Linked DNA regions of Styela clava. The protein of the gene in region 1 purifies or fractionates together with the protein of each later gene. This does not show direct contact. Links are inferred from orthologs where the notes say so. Each region holds a gene or a part of one and is shown on either strand. Other genes may lie near its edges.

The links. The genes of interacting proteins can lie anywhere in the genome.
Region 2: the proteins of putative ATP-dependent RNA helicase DDX6 (region 1) and protein LSM14 homolog B-like purify together in Caenorhabditis elegans (affinity purification with mass spectrometry; 3 studies listed by BioGRID, with this or other methods). This does not show direct contact. The link is inferred for Styela clava from reciprocal best matches to the Caenorhabditis elegans genes cgh-1 and car-1.

What each region holds. Positions count from the first base shown.
Region 1 is NC_135253.1:748,278-757,101, forward strand, and holds the start of putative ATP-dependent RNA helicase DDX6, read left to right. Parts: upstream 1-5,554; 5' UTR 5,555-5,807; coding exon 5,808-5,974; intron 5,975-6,846; coding exon 6,847-6,910; intron 6,911-7,049; coding exon 7,050-7,182; intron 7,183-7,652; coding exon 7,653-7,754; intron 7,755-8,273; coding exon 8,274-8,420; intron 8,421-8,824. UniProt on the Caenorhabditis elegans protein: Probable RNA helicase required for oocyte and sperm function. Also required to prevent the physiological germline apoptosis mechanism killing essentially all developing oocytes.
Region 2 is NC_135262.1:5,623,294-5,632,114, reverse strand, and holds the start of protein LSM14 homolog B-like, read right to left. Parts: upstream 3,542-8,821; 5' UTR 3,530-3,541; coding exon 3,409-3,529; intron 2,766-3,408; coding exon 2,590-2,765; intron 1,949-2,589; coding exon 1,729-1,948; intron 1,218-1,728; coding exon 1,118-1,217; intron 714-1,117; coding exon 574-713; intron 144-573; coding exon 1-143. Other genes in the region: transcription initiation factor TFIID subunit 4-like, read left to right, coding at 6,157-6,634, 7,319-7,500, 8,095-8,184, 8,818-8,821. UniProt on the Caenorhabditis elegans protein: Transcriptional regulator. Involved in modulating embryonic expression of ATP-dependent chaperone cdc-48.1. May play a role in mRNA gene silencing, and RNA granule (P-body) assembly.

The sequences.
Region 1 (8,824 bases):
CCTAATAATAATGAAAGATGAATGAAGTAGAAATCAAAATTCTGAAGCTCGTTTTGAGGCTGCATATATGGTTCGAAATGGGTCTACCGAACACACGCCGCAAGTCTACAAGTGCTTAAATACCGTACTGCTGTCTGGAATACCCCAAACAAAAATGTGATATGAAAATAAATGCCGTATCTGCATAAATAACCCCAACCAAAAATGTGTTGTACCGGTAATAATACAGCCCAAATTTTTAATGTTTTTTTTAATAAAAGTCTCGAACGGAAGGCTATAACCTTTTTGGAATGGGATATACCACCTTAGTTGAAAATTGAGAGGATTATATTTTAACTAAACGTGTCTGTCAAGTATTTCATTCCACGCCAAACATATGAATTTCACATCACATTTCTGTTTGGCGTTTTTTAAGGAGTTAGGTACATCGTTTTACTTGGCTAGACTCCATGAAATTATAACATAATTTATTTAGCAGTTAAGATTTGTCAGTACTGTTAGTTTGTCTAAGTCTAGTCTAGTACAGTAATTTCAACCGCAGACTGGCGTTCCCTGAAATGCCTTAAGGCAGTAAGGTGTTTTTATTCAAATTGCTGAATTGTTGTTCCCCAATTTTTTTTTGTTTTCTAGGCATATTTCATGATAAAAAAGAAACCAAAAGTCAATGAGGCCTGAGGGCATGTTTGATTCTAAGAAAGTATGTTACATATTACTGGAAGTTTCCCCAGGTCTGCACTCTGCAGGTATAAGTTTAGAAATAATTAAAAACTGATTAATGGCACATAAAACCGGGTCTTACTACTTACTGAATACAGCGCGAAACACCGCAAAGAGCGCGAAACAGAGGAAAACAGCGCGAAACAGAAGGAAACCAGCGCAAAACAGAGGGAAACAGCGCAAAACAGGAGACGCAGTCATTACCACCTCCTGCCACGAAAGAACCACGGCGCCTCTCGCCATGGTTTTATGGCGCTATTTCCGGCATATATACAAGGTTATGTACCGGATTATAGGTCATCATGCGAAATTTTATCTACCTTTTTGGTGCTCCAGAAGTATGTGCAGGTGCAGCAATATGTCGCACAACCTGAATCCGTTACACACACACACACATACTATTTTCAGGTTGTGCGCCATCTTGGTGCACATACTTCTGGAGGTCCCTTTTTACCTAACCCTAACCCTAAAGCCAACCATATCCATATGGAAAATGTTCTAAATTATGGTACCCAAAATGTGTCACCAGCAGGGGCAGACCTGCCATTACAGCATTACTGGCTACATATGTTCGTTTGTGTTTTGAATTTGCTGCCGTGGTACTCCAACTCAAAACAAGGTGCTCCGAACTCATTGCAAAATTTTTTTCTGCTTCACACTGTTTCCCTCTGTTTTGCGCTCTTTCGCGCTGTTTCCCCACTGTTTTGCGCTCTTTGCGGTGTTTCGCGCTGTATTCAGTAAGTAGTAAGACCGCATAAAACCAGCCAATATCTGAATGTTTGTTAGTCTGAGTGAGGCCATAGCTGTATAGTTTCAATTGATAATTCTCAGCTTTTTGCTGATTTGGTCATTGTCATCATAATAGACAGAGAGGTTGATGCTCGGGGGAACATTCATTAACAGTGCAAACTCTGAAACCCCACAGTTCTTAAAATTCCAAGATGTCCATACATTTGGTTCAATAAAACAAACACTCTATTTGTCTCTGAAACGAGGGCATCTGGCATGATGACATTTGCGTCAGATTGCGCCAGGCCTCGGTATAGTTAAAAATTTTGTTTTTAAGCTAAATTGTGTTTTTAAGCTAAAAAAATTTCAGTGTAATCCAATGGTGACGTTTGTAGTTTGCACTTTATTTTAGTTCATTACGCAGTGCCAATTTGCCGCTTTGAGTCGATATGGAGGCTGTCTCGTAATAGAGTTGTTGCCGCTGGAAGGCTATTACTTTTAATTTTTTTCAAACATTTTTCTGAGCCCTATGAGAATCGTTTTTAACTTTGAATGAAAATGCCCTTATGCCACCGAGTGACAGAATAAGTTCAATAGTTATCACTCATGACATCGCAATCTGAAAACAACTCATATTAGCGCTATCTGAAAGTGGGATGGTCCTGACAGCCTGAAGGCGCGTGGTGAACATTGGTGTGTGACGATAATAGGGTAACTTATGTTAGGGTATGTGCCCATCTAAGAAAACTTAATACACCATATTAGAATGGCATTACTATTTCTAGCTACAAACTGCCTGTCTTAGATGATTCTTATTTATATTTCGGTGGAAAAATCTTTTAATTTTGTTTTTTTAGCCCTGGATTTGGATTTGTTAGGCATTTGTTCCACTGTGAGCCATTAAGCCATTGCTATTTTTTTGATGTCAAAACTGATCAAGGATAGTAGTTATTCGAAAAGTTTCCATAAAATCTGAAAATTTTTATTTGGGCTATTACAAGCAAATTTGTTCAAAAGTGCAGTGAAAGTAATTGTTTTGTATTTTTTATATCAAATAACACTTGTATTTTATTGGACTGCATTCAGTTCACTGGAAAATTTAAAATTTTACCCAGGTTTTTAATCATTTACACAAAGGGGCCTGAAATGTAGAAATTTTGATAAAATTGACATGTTTTGTGATGACTTGTAACACGAAGTGTTTGTTTGTCTGGTACAGTTATTTCGAATAGATGCACTGGACTTATGTTAATAAAGATTAAGTGTTTGCAGTGCCGTAGGACATGTTTTTACCTATTTAACGATTTATCGGCGCGGCGGTGTGGCTCAACGGGCTGAACTCGCCACCGCACCTCTAATTACTCTGCGTGGGTTCGCAGGTTCGAATCCCATGCAGGGATGGTTATGTGCGAGAGGATTGCTGGACTCCTCGCCGTCGTTGGGTGGTTCACGTAACTGCTGGTCGGTTACGGCTTCCCCCACCACCAAGTCCATGCTTCCGAAAACAAACAATATAACTAATCCCATACCCGACTTGGAATGGTAACCGGACGAGAGGCCGTGGTTCGTCATATGGATAAGCCGTCTTATCGGCTTTCCTCTCCCCGAGATAAATATGTAAATCCTAATCTTATCTTATAACCTGAATTTTAAGAGATGATAGAGGCCGCTGTTCCAAGGTGGAAAAATGCCCTGTAGTGTCACATATAATGTGCACATCATCATTGTAGATCTACAGTGTTACATTGAGTAGTTAACTTAAGTGTGTCATAGCGGGGTCATTCAGTTACTGCGCCAGAAAATATTGAGGGCTCATGCTGTACCATCGCGACAATTTACAACACAATGAAACGTTATTGCGTGGTGGACCTGTCGTCCCGTAGTGCCACGCTATATTTTTACTGTGTTTTTAATGAGTCTTTTATGTAACTTTGGTGCAGTTTTGTTTAAACCCCATAACTCAACTGATTGGGCAATGACACAAAACATGTAGCTGGCAATGTAAAAATATATTGCAAATCACAACATGCAAAATTGTTCCATAGAGTCACCGGGAATAACACATTTGGTGTTCTACAAAACACAACAATGGATCGATATTCGTAAGGGAAAAACTCAAAATCCAGATTAAGAACTAACAGTGTGTTTGTCCTTTCCTAATACTTGTAAGAATAAAAGTCTTTTTCTTGATATCACATTGAAATATCATTGCTATTTTTTGCTACTTGTAGCCTGTCTTGGGTAATTCTCTTTTTGTCTTTGGTAAGCTATTTCAGCATTTTGTGGCTCTAGTTCTGTAATTTGGATAGTTCTCTGTAGCTTTGATTTTAAGAGGGTGGGTGAATGGGTACATGGGCACAAACGCTGGTTACAGCACCTGTTATAAACCTTTCTCTAGATTTTGCCCATTTTCCCGATCTTTTCGTCGCCATTTTCTGTGTATTTTATTTTATTCATGTTCTGTTTTGTAGACAAAAGATCGAAATGAAATCGTATTGTGGGTATTTATCCCCATTGGCTTCAGCAGTATAATAAGTGTTATCGCCAAATATTTCCTATTTATTAAACAAAGTCAGCGGCCAGCTAGAGAGCCAGACTAGTAAAGCCTTGTCATACCATTACCAATGCGTGATATTTAGCATTGATCTTGTATTTGTTAAATGATGCACTTGGAGTTTTGTTTGCAGAGTTAAAATAAAATTTTTAGAATGGCCGGACCACTGTAATTTATATGTTTTGTGTACGACCCTTTGGTGAAAATAGTTGAGTAGCCCTGCTATGGGGTGAATCGCCGTAATTGCTTTTATTTAGTAAGTGCAGCCTGCCGTTACGGCTGTAGTTCGGTACCAATTCAACGTTTATTAAGCTGAGATGAAATTGATTTAGCTCATTAATAGCGAGTTTAACTTCCTTTTGAACAAGTTGCTACACCCCATTGCTTTTGTCTATGAAGAAAGAATAGAAGATTATATTGGCAAGTGAAAAATGAAAGCATAATGGAGCTTTTGATAACATCTATAGTAGTGCTTTCCAAACTTCCCATGTAGGTGATATATTTTGGCGACACATTCTGATTTAATGTTATTGTTATTTAAAATGCTTAACTGAAAAATGTAAACTTACAATTACAACATTTCAATATTTGATTGAATGAATGCAAGATGAATTCTGTCATATTTTATCATTTAGCATTTTCAACCTAGCATGTGCAATTGCCTATTACCATTAAATTTTACCCGAAAACTAACAAACTAGTGTAATAATAAATGCTGAATCCGATCTTTCACTTTGGCACCACACTATAGAAAACAGATCACTGGTGAATCAGTATGTGTCAAGCAACATATGTCTATCAAACAAAATAGCATCGTGGTGCTGTTAGCTCAATGGTAACAATTATCATTAAATGAAAGTAAGGTGTGCAAGCATAATAACCATATCTGTGGTCAGTGACCATTTCAGGCTAACATGTCTAACCATTAGATTTTGATACTTAGCAAAGAATGTTTATTGCATCATAAAAATGAATAAGGAAACTGCATTCCAGAAGACATCCCAATTTTTCAAGCACTGATATTAGTGTCACAAGTTCAAAGATGCACCATTGTAGTACAAGTTGGGAATATAGTTTGCTAAGCTCTTATCTATACAATAACTGAAGTGGGTCCATCAGTTTTTCATAATTTTCTTTTGTGTCAGTTGCTGCCAAACCTTGCCTTTGAACATCAACACAGATTAACCACTGACCGCCCCTCAATGCATGTACCGTAATCAAATATGGTTTGCTATTTAGATATTCGCACTTTAATGAAAAATGATATGACACTCATATTTTCTGAGCATGATATTTCAATATTACCTGTAAGAATATATCTAATTCATAGCTGATACTGATAGCCAGATGAAAATATATTGACAGGCAATCCGTGCATGCCCACTTTAGCACTTACTCTTGTTATGATCATAATTTTATCTTGTACTGAAATGCAGTATATTATTTATTAACCACACTGTTGCTTATAATAACCCTCAGAAATACTTGCTTATCTTAGTGATAGAGATTCATACCATTCAATACTGATACTGATATTCATCTGTATTTTATCTTATTTATTTATGAAATTTTATAGCATATTATGGAATGAATCATAATTAAGCAGTTATTTAAAGAAATTTTTGAATTTCTGCACAGTGCACTTCAGAGGAAACAGTTGTACATCTTGAGTTTTTTGTGACTTTCTAACAGAACATAAGTTCTACATTGACTTAACAATTTCTGTGGTGGTGATCTCAGGGAATTTGCGCATTGAATGCTGGTAATTTTCTACAAATTTATCGCCCCTGTGGAACAGATTTGAATAATGGCGAACGTTATGCCACCAACTAATCAGCATATGCCCTCATCAGGGCACAAATATTCTGCTGGTAATGGACCAAGCAGACAACCTTCTGCAAACTCAGTTCAAGGTTCTCGTCAACAGAACAATAAGCCTGTTGCTAACTCTCACCCTCAATCTGGCAAAGTTGGGTAAGCAGGATTTTTTCAACTTTGTTTTTCAGGAAATAGGTTTGATTCTATATCGCTACTTGCTTATTGCCTTGGACAGTAGTCTGTGGTTGATAGTATGTATGCAGTTGCAGTTGACAATCATTGACTAATTCAGTTAATAAATGGATAAATATATATATCCATATTTGTTTTGATAAATATCAGCTTAAAGCGAAGTCACAAAGAATACACTATAAACAAAATTATTATTATGATTGAACAAAGCATACTATTGAATGATTTTATGCCGGAATCGTCTCTAAATATTTAAAATCTAATGTTATGTTACATTAACATTCTCAAAAAAATTCAAAATTTTTCACCCTGTACTTTGAATTCATTCGAAATTAGATCGTGATTTAGCAAAAATAGTGCGCAGGAATCCAAAGAAGGTGTCTGTTTTACAATTTTTTTTTGTTTGTTCAAGAAAAAAACATAGGCTTATTATCTTGTATGATTTCAGTACTTAAAATGGAAGACATTCTTCGGTGTTCTTAAAATCAAATTTATTCTAATATTCAATTCATTTCATATGTATTCCTTTACATCTAATTTTGTAATTGGAATGGGTAAATTTATACATACCTTTGTCAGAAACTGATACCAAAAATATCGAAAAAAATTGATTATTCGACAGGATTAAAAATGGAAATGTATTATTTTGGGATTTCATATTGAAAGACTATAGGCCAAAAACTTGTCATACAATGCACATAACTAGACATGGCTACCTGCAGAATAATGTTGAAATGCTTATGAATGCAAGCTTTGGCCTGATAACATTTGCTAGTTATATTGGTTAACGGATTGTCATTCATTTGTTTCCAAACTTGCTTATTTATTTACATTAGGGAAGGAGAAGATTGGAAATCAAATTTACATTTGCCACCAAAAGACAGAAGAAAGAAAACTACTGTAAGTGCACTAACAATTGATGATTACACATTCGACAAGTATTTTACCTGTTTACATTTAATCGAAAGAAGAATGTTTCTTGAGAGACTTTTACATGATTGCCATTGCGAAGTTCTCATTACTTTACTTTATATGCCAGGACGTTACAGCGACTAAAGGAAATGAATTTGAAGACTTCTGTCTCCAGCGAGAATTATTGATGGGTATTTTTGAAAAAGGCTGGGAGAAACCTTCACCCATTCAGGAAGAAAGCATTCCTATCGCATTATCTGGTGAGATATTAGAATAAATAATCTTAATAGAATTTTTATCTAACTCTGTGGTTTCTACTTTTTTATCTCTTAAGAAATTGCTTTACACTTTGAGTGATAATAAATTTCATGTGAAGGATAAACCTATTTTTCGGCATCTATAACATTGTTGTATGTTGTTAGTTGATATAGTATAAGATACATACCTAAAATATATATTCAAATTAATTAAAACTTGAAATTATAATATTAGAGCCCAGTAACAGAGTGATAAGGAAATGACTAAAATATGACAGGTTATACTGTGTAACAGTATGAAATGTTTTAGAATTGGCTCGTAAAGATCTACCGTATATATTTATATGTACCAGTATATTTTTTTTGTGCTAAATTTACTAACTTCATTTGTCTTATTAGTAATCTGTTCAAATTGGTTCCAATGAATATATCAAGTCAGAATGTCTTTATTTGTGTATTCACTGTCATTCCAGGTCGAGATATTTTAGCAAGAGCTAAAAATGGCACTGGAAAATCTGGTGCCTATCTGATTCCTTTGTTGGAAAAATGTGATATGTCTAAAGATTATGTTCAAGGTAACACATAATTTATATTGCAATGTATATTTGTAAACAGGATATAATCTAATGATAGCCTAAATTAGTTTAAACTATAACATAAAACAGTATTTGTAGTTTCATTTGTTCCATTCGCTCTTGAAAAACTGAAATTTTGGTTGTAGATAATGATGTACTCTTGCTGATTGATAACAAGATAGGTTGTACTCTTGACTGGAATATACATGCAACAATAGTATTATGGTTTCATATTTATTTTGATTTTATTAATTTTATTTTACTATTTACTAGTGTCGAATGGTTTGCTGCTGTATGTGCAGTAATATCTGTAATTGACATTCTTAAAGCTTGTTCATATTTCGATTAAATGCATTGCTCAAAAAGTTGATCTCTATATTTTTGATACTGATAAAACAATAGCAGTATTATGTTCTCATCTATAGGCCATTACAATTCAATATTTAACATACTTGGTTTACTTAGGTATTGGTCATTTTTTGTTTACAAATGACAAAGCTTTCTTTTATGTTATACTAGCCATGGTTTTGGTGCCAACACGTGAACTGGCATTGCAAACATCACAAATTGCCATTGAAATGAGCAGGCACATGGGAAATTTAAATGTGATGGCCACAACTGGAGGAACCAACTTAAGAGATGATATTCTCAGACTTGAAAGCAATGGTAAGATCTTTTGGATAAGTAAAAATTTAGTTATAATATTAGTTCATCTATACTGTATATAAAAAGACTTTCCTTGCAACTCTTTGATCAAGCTGTGCAGAAAATATACCTTTTTCCTTTTGTCCCAAATCTCAAGAAACCAATAGGTACTTAACCTTTTTGATGAATTCCTCCCTTTGCCTAATTTGAGATTTTTCATACCTCTAACCTCCTCACTATTGCATAAAAACTCTATTGACGATTATAATCTTTACGTAACAGAATTTATTTTGAGACACGTGTAGACTAAATTATATTATAATAACCTAACAAGTATATAATTTCCAATTACTCGTTAAATGAGCCTATAATTCAAGTTTAATTAGACAAATGACAACAAAATGCAGAAAAGTTGATGCTAAGTG
Region 2 (8,821 bases), on another chromosome or scaffold:
GAGCTCCTTAGCAATATCCTCCTTGTTAAACTGAGCATTGGAGGTTTCAAAATCAAAGTCGCCTTGGAAAGACAAAACATCTTTACGTGGTCCATTATATCGACCTCTATTATTTGGTCGCGAGCGTCCTCCTCTTCTATTACCTGGATGAATAAATATTTATAAATTCATGATGAAATCTGTGAAAAAGCTGAGCTGAACTGTTTCTGTTGCACATATAACATGTTGAAATTGAAAGAAAAAATAAACAATGGCTGACTGAAACATTGATAAGCGAATTCATTGTCTTTAGGCTGGTATGAGATTTAGTTAATCAGGTGGGTTTCGGGCTTTTACTAGTAATATGTATCGTGTTGAAATGAAGCAGACAAAAATACAGAAATCTTGCCGACATTTCACAAGAATTTGCATAACACATATATAAAGTTGATGTGATATAAGGTAGAATAAATCCAAATCAATTTTGAACAAAACATCAGAAACAATAGAAGAGAGAAGAATATTTATCAAATCAGCAGAAATTGACAACACCAATCAGTACTCAAATATTCGTGGGGGTATGATTTCACAAACCTCGATGAAAATCATTTTTTCCTCTCCAGTTGTTATTTCTTTGTTGGTTCCTGTTCCGATTATCGTATGAATTTCTTGATCCCTCGTTATTACGCGAATTATCTTGATCATAAAAATCTCTACGCTTCTCATACGAACGGCTACGTAAAACAAAAAGTTTGTTAAACCAAAATAACTAGAAAGTGGACCTTCACTGACCAAGTACGGCCCACAGGCCAAATCCGGCACGTTGGGTAATTCAATCTGGCCCACCTGATGCTGCCACAACCAAACTAAAACCAAATTTTGATGTTTCAGCTAAAATAGATCAAGGAATTTGTTGAGATTGCGGTTAAATTAAGTTTTGGCACGAAGCTGATTGTTTTCCACCTTTGCTTCATAAGACACTGTAAATATTGTTCATAAAATGTAACTTCTTACATCACACTTACATGGTCGGCAAGTCTAAGTGGGCAAAATTTTTGGCACCTGGTTCGAAAACCTTGTCCACCCCTGCTCTATGTAATAAAACGAATAGTGCAATCATATTTTAGTAATCACACACCTGTCTGCATTATTCTGAGCTAGTGGACTTCCAGTTTGAATTCCCTGATCTGATGTCGGAGAAATTCTACCAAGTGATACAGGTGAAGCAGATTTAGCACCTGGATTTTGTTAAAAAAAAGTAGAATGATTAATGAGAGGCCTAAAATAAAACACAACTTGTTATCTCAAACTGCCGGAGATAAAACTAAGTATTCTTTAGAATTAAAGTAAAAGAAAATCAAATTTTGATTACAAAAGTTTGGCATATGCAAGCCTTCTTTAATTATCAGTCCACTCAATGCTTTTGGGTTTCATCACATATCTTGCTTGACCTCGATTACTGCCACCAAAATTTGTGAGTATCACAAAAATTTAAAATTTCAGTTCCTATCTGTCGACTAGCGGAGAGAGTTTGAAAATATGACACAGACTCCGGCTTGAAAATGGAAACGTGCCATATTTCATAGACCTGGAGTAATGTGCTATCCTAATTCTAAATAGTAATAGCAGATCTTAAGAGTTTTTGTGCCCATAAATTCGCTCTGAGATGTGTCTACATTACACCTGAGCGCACATGTGCGACACCCTTGTGAGGAAGTTATCTTATTTAAAAAAATAAACAATGGTTACCTTGTAGGAGAGGCTTCTGTTGGGCAGCACCAGGCTGTGGATGTGCAGATCTAGGTAGGCCAACAGGTGGTGGTGGACCGGATGGCATATGCGGTGGTTGGTTTGGGGGTGGGACCATGTTGTACGGAGGCATTCCATATCCATACGGTGGCATGTATGGTGGCGGCATATGAGTTGGTGCATTAGGAGGCATTCCAGAATGCTGAGATGTCACAACAGACTGTAAGAGGAAACAAAGGTAAATGCAAAGAAAAGCTATAAATTATATATAGGATAGGCCTATATCATATATCTATTACGTAGACTTCAAGTCGAGGAACAATATATAATTACCATAAATTCACAAAAATAAGTCGTCATTTGATTGAAAATGTCATTACAGCAAAAAATTTGATTTGCTCTATTATACAAGACTAAAAAATAAATATATCTAGAAACAATAACTTTTGGGTGTAATTCCATGTGCTAAATTTTTATCTAGTGCAGTGACATGATAGTGGTGGTAATATACAATACACTTGGCTGGAAAGAGACAGGAAGTCAAAATTGTTTCATGTTAGAATTATAAGAACAGGGTCCAAAATAAATGAAATATATACTAAATTAGTTCTATTTGATATAATAAATGATTTAGGATAGTTTCACTTGAAAATTTGACATTTTCAAGTATTTGCCATCTGATGTTCAGACAAAAAATAAATTCCATTAAAGTTCTTGTACTATAAAAATAAAAAATTTGAAAAAGAACATTTCCAACTAATCTGCATTATCAAATTATATTATATCCAACTTGTTTCGAGTTAAAGACTCGTTCCACTCTGAAACTTGTATTTACTTTGAAGCAGATAAAATTCATTTCACCTGTACAATAGCAGGATCTTGTGGCAAAGAAGTCGTTGGTGGCTGCTGTGGCTTCGGAGGTTCACATACTGTCAGATCTTCTATGTCGCTTCCACGAAATATAATATATTCATATAAATCATCTCGTGGAGGGACTACACATTCGGTCTGCCGATCTTCTGTGCCAAATGATCGAACTGTAAATGGAATAAAATAAGTTTTTTCTTGGAAAATTGTGCCAAGCATTATATATCGGTAAAAACTCTAATAATAATACTCAATTAACTGACATATGCATAATACAAGATAATAAAAAATGGTGCAAAATTGGGAAACTATGATTATGCTTCATTTTAACTAAAATTGATGAATTGACTGATATATCACAGCATTAATATTCCTTTTATCTGGAATAGCGAATATAATAATTAGGCTTGTTTTTTCAAGTTAGAATGAGGCAGCTGGTAGCCGGAATGCAGGTATATTTTGCTTTGTATCTTCCATAAATTTAAGTGAAATCTGTGGTAAAGCCTATTACCACAATGGAAAGCATGGTATATTTCAGTTTTTGGCATCAGCATTTTGTCTGCAATACCTAGACCAGATTTTCAAGACTTCAAAAATATAATATTAATCATCCTTATTATCAATTCAATAATATAATGTATATTATTATGAAGTCAGGAAGTATAATATTTTGCAGTTTAATTTATACAATATATAAATTTTTGCTACATATAATCAATATTCCTCAAGTAAAATTTATAATAAAACTCGAATAAATAAATTGTGTAACGAACATCATAAATTGACAAATTTATAAGGAAACGTAAAATATACCTTTTGCCAGAGCAACTGTAGCATTTTCAGCATCAATCGTGAACAAAATTCCTTCATAACGGATTTTTGCCTTTGATATCAAACTAATCCTACTGCCGATATATGGAGTTCCACAACTCATATCGCCAAAAAACTAGGAGGTAAAAATTATGAAATATTTTTATAGTTTTTAAGAGTTACCAAACACATCTCAGTATCTGCACATACAGACATAAAAGATTTCCAAGAGAACGAGAGAGACAGGTTTTTATTTCCAAACTCTGTCATTATGGTACATTTTTTTATTTACAAATCCAGTCTACATATGTGCTGCAGTCCATTAAGAACTAACAAACTAAGTTTGAGATAAACAATGATTTCCCAATTTGCACTGCTGAACAGCAAATATCACATCCCACTACGGTATTTAAAAAGCAAATAACCAATGTGACACCACCTGACACGGATAGCCAAATAACTTCAGAGCTTGTTTTCATTAAAGCTGTATTACCATTGATACTATTCCGAGTATATTAAATCTCAGAGAAAAGTCCTGCCTCGTGTAAATTAACAAGAAAGAAACGATAACTAACAGTTTGATTTCCTACCAATTTGAAATAGCGACAACGGATAAGGCATGAAAACACTTCATGACCCGCGTTCAGATTGTATGACGCGTTGCTCTTAATCGCGCTCTAGTGTTCGTCTGAAAATCCATTTTTTCTTTTTTCTGTGATATAATGAAAAATGAAAATGAGAGAAAAAGAAAAAAGCAAAATTTGAGGACCGCGGTGTGAACCACTTGTTATATATGAAGGGGGTGTCAGCGGAGACTTGTTTTATAACGTAAATACACTGATATTTGTTTATTCGATTAAAAAGATTGTTGTATAACATAAATTTACATTTGCAATACAATAAAAATTAAAAAAAAAATTCATAATACAATGTTTTTAATTTTTCATATGACCGTACTTCATTTTAAAACACGATCCATTCCCTTGAATCGGAAAATGATGACGCATGCGCACTTCATTCTTGTTGTGAAGGCCGTGGAGTAGTGATGGCGCCCAACGGGTCGCTGCGCTTCATTCGCGCCCGAGGTTTCGAGGTGTGCATTTGGGAGTTGTGAGTTGGTGGAGCTAATGGCCCACTGAACGATCATATAGTTAGTTGCTAAATACATTTTTTTACTGATATGTTTATAGTTGTAAAGGGTGCTTGACCTGTTTCGAATATTATTGTCAGTCGTTTATACATCAACTTTCAGCATTTCTTTTAATAATCCTGTAACTGTGTAATGCAAAAGAAGTGTCTTGTGATATAGGATTCTTGACATGTTGTTGTTTGACAGAGCACAACAATCAAGTACCAAGGTACAAGATAATACAAGTATTGGGTAACATATCTGGGTGATAGTGACCTATTGCACGACCAGTATTTAATATCTGAATATACAGATAGGCATATGAAACTACAGAAATCAGGAAATATCTGTTCAATTATGACAGTACTGCAGTATGAAGAATACTTTTATGTAAGGGTGTAGCCTATCTAGTATAATGGTTATGTATAGCAGTGCAGTCATACCGATATGGTATTGTCTAAAACCACTTTTAGACTTGTTAATATTGTTAATTTTTCATATCATATTGCTCTATTGGGGTATTTTTAATTTGCCCGATCTGTCTGTCAAACCCCTCAGGTTTGGATCGAGCATAGCATGTGGTAGCATTGCACTTAACGGGTCTAGTATAGTTTAGTACCACAAGAACTTCCAGTGGGCGTAACATAACGAAATTTGCGTATGTTATTCCTAATCCCCACCTGACTATACCATCCAAAAATTACATCACTACGACGTCACAATCACATAATGGAGCTTGCCAAAGTACAGTTACAATCACCCGAAATGTCATCTGCGCCGCCCATAATGAACTCACTAACGCCCGCGATCTCTCTCATAGCGTGATCGTTGTGGCGAGAAAACATGATGGATAGCTTGCTTGATTTTGAGTGATCGTCTGCGCGTTCCGCATACTTTGTAGGGACTTTTAAGCCACTGTGACAGATTTTTTTGGTGACGCAGTCAGGCGGGGATTGGGAATGACATTCAAAAATTGTTGAGCCAGACCAACTAGAAGTGCATGTGGTACTAAGCTATACCAGACCCACACAAGTAATAGATAGGATAGAATTTATATATTTATCCCGGGGGAGAGGAAAGACGGCTTATCCATATGTCGAACCACGGCCTCTCGTCCGGTTACCATTCAAAGTCGGGTATGGAATTAGTTATATTGTTTGTTTTCGGAAGCATGGACCTGGTGGTGGAGGAAGCCGTAACCGACCAGCGGTTACGTGAACTACCCAACGACGGCGAGGAGTCCAGCAATCCTCTCGCACATAACCATCCCTGCATGGGATTCGAACCTGCGAACCCACGCAGAGTAATTAGAGGTGCGGTGGCTAGCGTATTCCTAACGCTTAGCTCGTTGAGCCACACCGCTGCGCCAAACACCGCATCGCTCAGTCATTTACTCATGTATATATCAAGTTTATTGCACCTTTACAATTCCACAAATAAATGCAACTTTTTTATTTCTCTCTGTGGGATTGCGATTAAATGACTAAGGTCTTTTTCGAGAGATTCTAATCCAGATCTCAATGCAAAGATTTATTTTAAGAACTTGCAATCGTAGTCAAAAATTAATTCTAAATATATTTTTTCAAGGTGATGTATAGATCTAAGCTGTTTTGTTCAATGCAATGAGGGTTAGCCCACCTGGATCGACGGACACAGTTCTCACATCTTCATCAAGTACCCCAAACACGTTGAACAGCTATAATTCTGGAATGAATAGTTTACCTCCATTTTCTGCAGCAAAAAACGGAGTACAGCAGGTCAGGACTGCTAGCCCGGTCACCTCTCAGCAGCAAGGGATGCTTAATGACTGGTCAACAGGTCTAAATGAGGGCTATGGGGCCCCAACCCCACAACAGCCGACCCTAGTTTTAAATTCACAGTTGCCTAAAGCATCCACACCTGTGGCAAAACAATTAACGACTCTGACCACAGTAAATAAAATTCCACAACCAGGAATGCAGCAATCAAATACTGGTTTGCAAAATAATTTATTGAATCCTACATCGAAGGCTCAAGTTTCTACGACTCAGCCAATGGTGACTGCGCGTCCTCAACAAGGTGGTGCAGTGCAACTAGCATCTGGGATAACTATTCCTCCAGGTTAATTTGATTTCTACTTTTTATCTAATTCCTTTTTCATACGCTATGCAGTCACAATGGTACATAATTATGTACTGGAAACTCTCATGGACTATTGTTATTGGGTCAAAGGTTCCTAAGTTTTTAATACGACAATGCAGTGGATGAAGAATTTATTTTTTTCAAACTTAAATAATAAAATTAAAAGTTTTAAAATATATTCAAACTTAACTATTACGATACATGAAGCTTGTTTTCATGCACATGTCCTTAGCTGTACTGTTTCACCACGATAATTTTCCATCATTATTCAAGCTTGAATATTACAGCGACAGAAAACCAGTCTAATACAAGTTGGATGTGGCAAAAGGGATCAAAACCCCCTGGAACAGGCTTAGCTATATATACTGAAAGTTAATATGTCCCCTTTTCTTATTTTTTCAATTAAGTGAACTGTATTTTACTATCAAGCATTACATTCCTATATAAAGAGTTATGTTCCACACAATATCATAAGCCCTCGAATGTGGAACTGATTGAAAGTTGTTGAGCATCGATACAGGGCTGTTAGTGAACATGCTGAGCCTATCTACACGCTGGTTATATGGTTTGATGGAGCTTTTTTCTTGATTTACTTCCTGTATGATGAATGATCTGTGCTTTTCGCTGATTTCCCATATTACTTTTGATTCCAACCGTATACAGGTATGGTTCTAGCAAGACATCAGAATGGACAGTTGCTGCTTGTGAGTAGTAATTCGTTGTCATCGTCATCTACTACAAATACATCCACAGTTCCTGTAACTCAGACCGCAACATCTGGGACCGTAACAACGTTGAAAAATTCGACAACAGCAGGTGTTGGGACATCATCACCTCAACCCGCAGTAAGTATTAAAGTTGATAACAAAGCAAAGATCAATTATAAGTGCCCAGATTTTAAATGAATACTGGAATTTTAGCAAAATTTCTGACATTTTTTTTTAGTAATTGTAGGTGTTTCACAGATGTCATATAACAGTATTTCTGTGAATTGGAAAAAAAACAGCAAAATTTTGAGTAGGACAAAATTTGAGCAAAATAGAAGTAATAGCCTCCTAGGGACTTATTCCACATTGAAGTACTGAAATATGATTTTATTAGGTCTATTAGTTGCAAGAAAACAACAATTACAATAGTTAGCAAAATGGTACATGTACTCTTTCTACCCAATAAGGGAATTTTGAAAACACCTGCCTCAAATTTTTTGTAAACATTTCTGTATGTTTTATTCTGCAAATGTTTTGCACAAATCAAAATCTTACCACGATTATGTAAATTTGCTTTTATCGTATGAAACACAATCGAGCAACTTTTTATTGCTAATTTCCATTCCATTCTTTTGACAATTTGTTTCATATCGTCTTCTTACAAAAAAAGTCAAAGCCAGGCTCAACAGAATAAAGGATGAAAAAATCTATTGATTCCATTTTTCTATTAAGATAACTGCAACAACAGCTGGTCAGGTGGTAGCAAGAACAGTGGTTCCAGTTACAAATTCAATTAACCTTAAAGCTGTTGCTGCTAAGCAAGTAAGTATGGAATGTATTTTTCACAAAGTTTTTCAAGTTATATTTATTTTATGCCCAGTATCAGTAACTCGTCTGTAATATCTTCCTTTCCATTAATACATTGTGAAATCATGGCATATCTTTGTTTATTAATAATAATAATGATTTTTCTTTTTTGATTGATTATATTAATAAGATTTATTAATTATTTGTGATTTTATGCCCAGATGATATAATATGTTGTCTAAAACCCAATAATTTACCATTCTGAAATAATATTTCCAAATATGGAATACCGAATACGTTCTGAAATGGGCCATGTCTACAGTGAAAATCACTCAGACTGTTAATAGAAGTTAAATTTGTTAATTAGCTCATCTGTGTCCTACCAAGTTCAAATGCATTCTAATACTCCATTTGTTTTCGGACACCCCTGATCTCACAGAATTCACCACTTATTGCATGAAACTTCAATTGTTTCTTAGCAATTTGCACTTAGAGTGGATTCTGCCATAATGAGTCTCTAATAGTTACCAATATACAGCATTATCTACTGTCTTTGTCTGCAAGACTTTGTTTTATATTTTTCTTATCATGTACTGATCATAAATATTTTGATCTGAATCTTTTTTTCACCAAAACATTACTTTTCAGACGG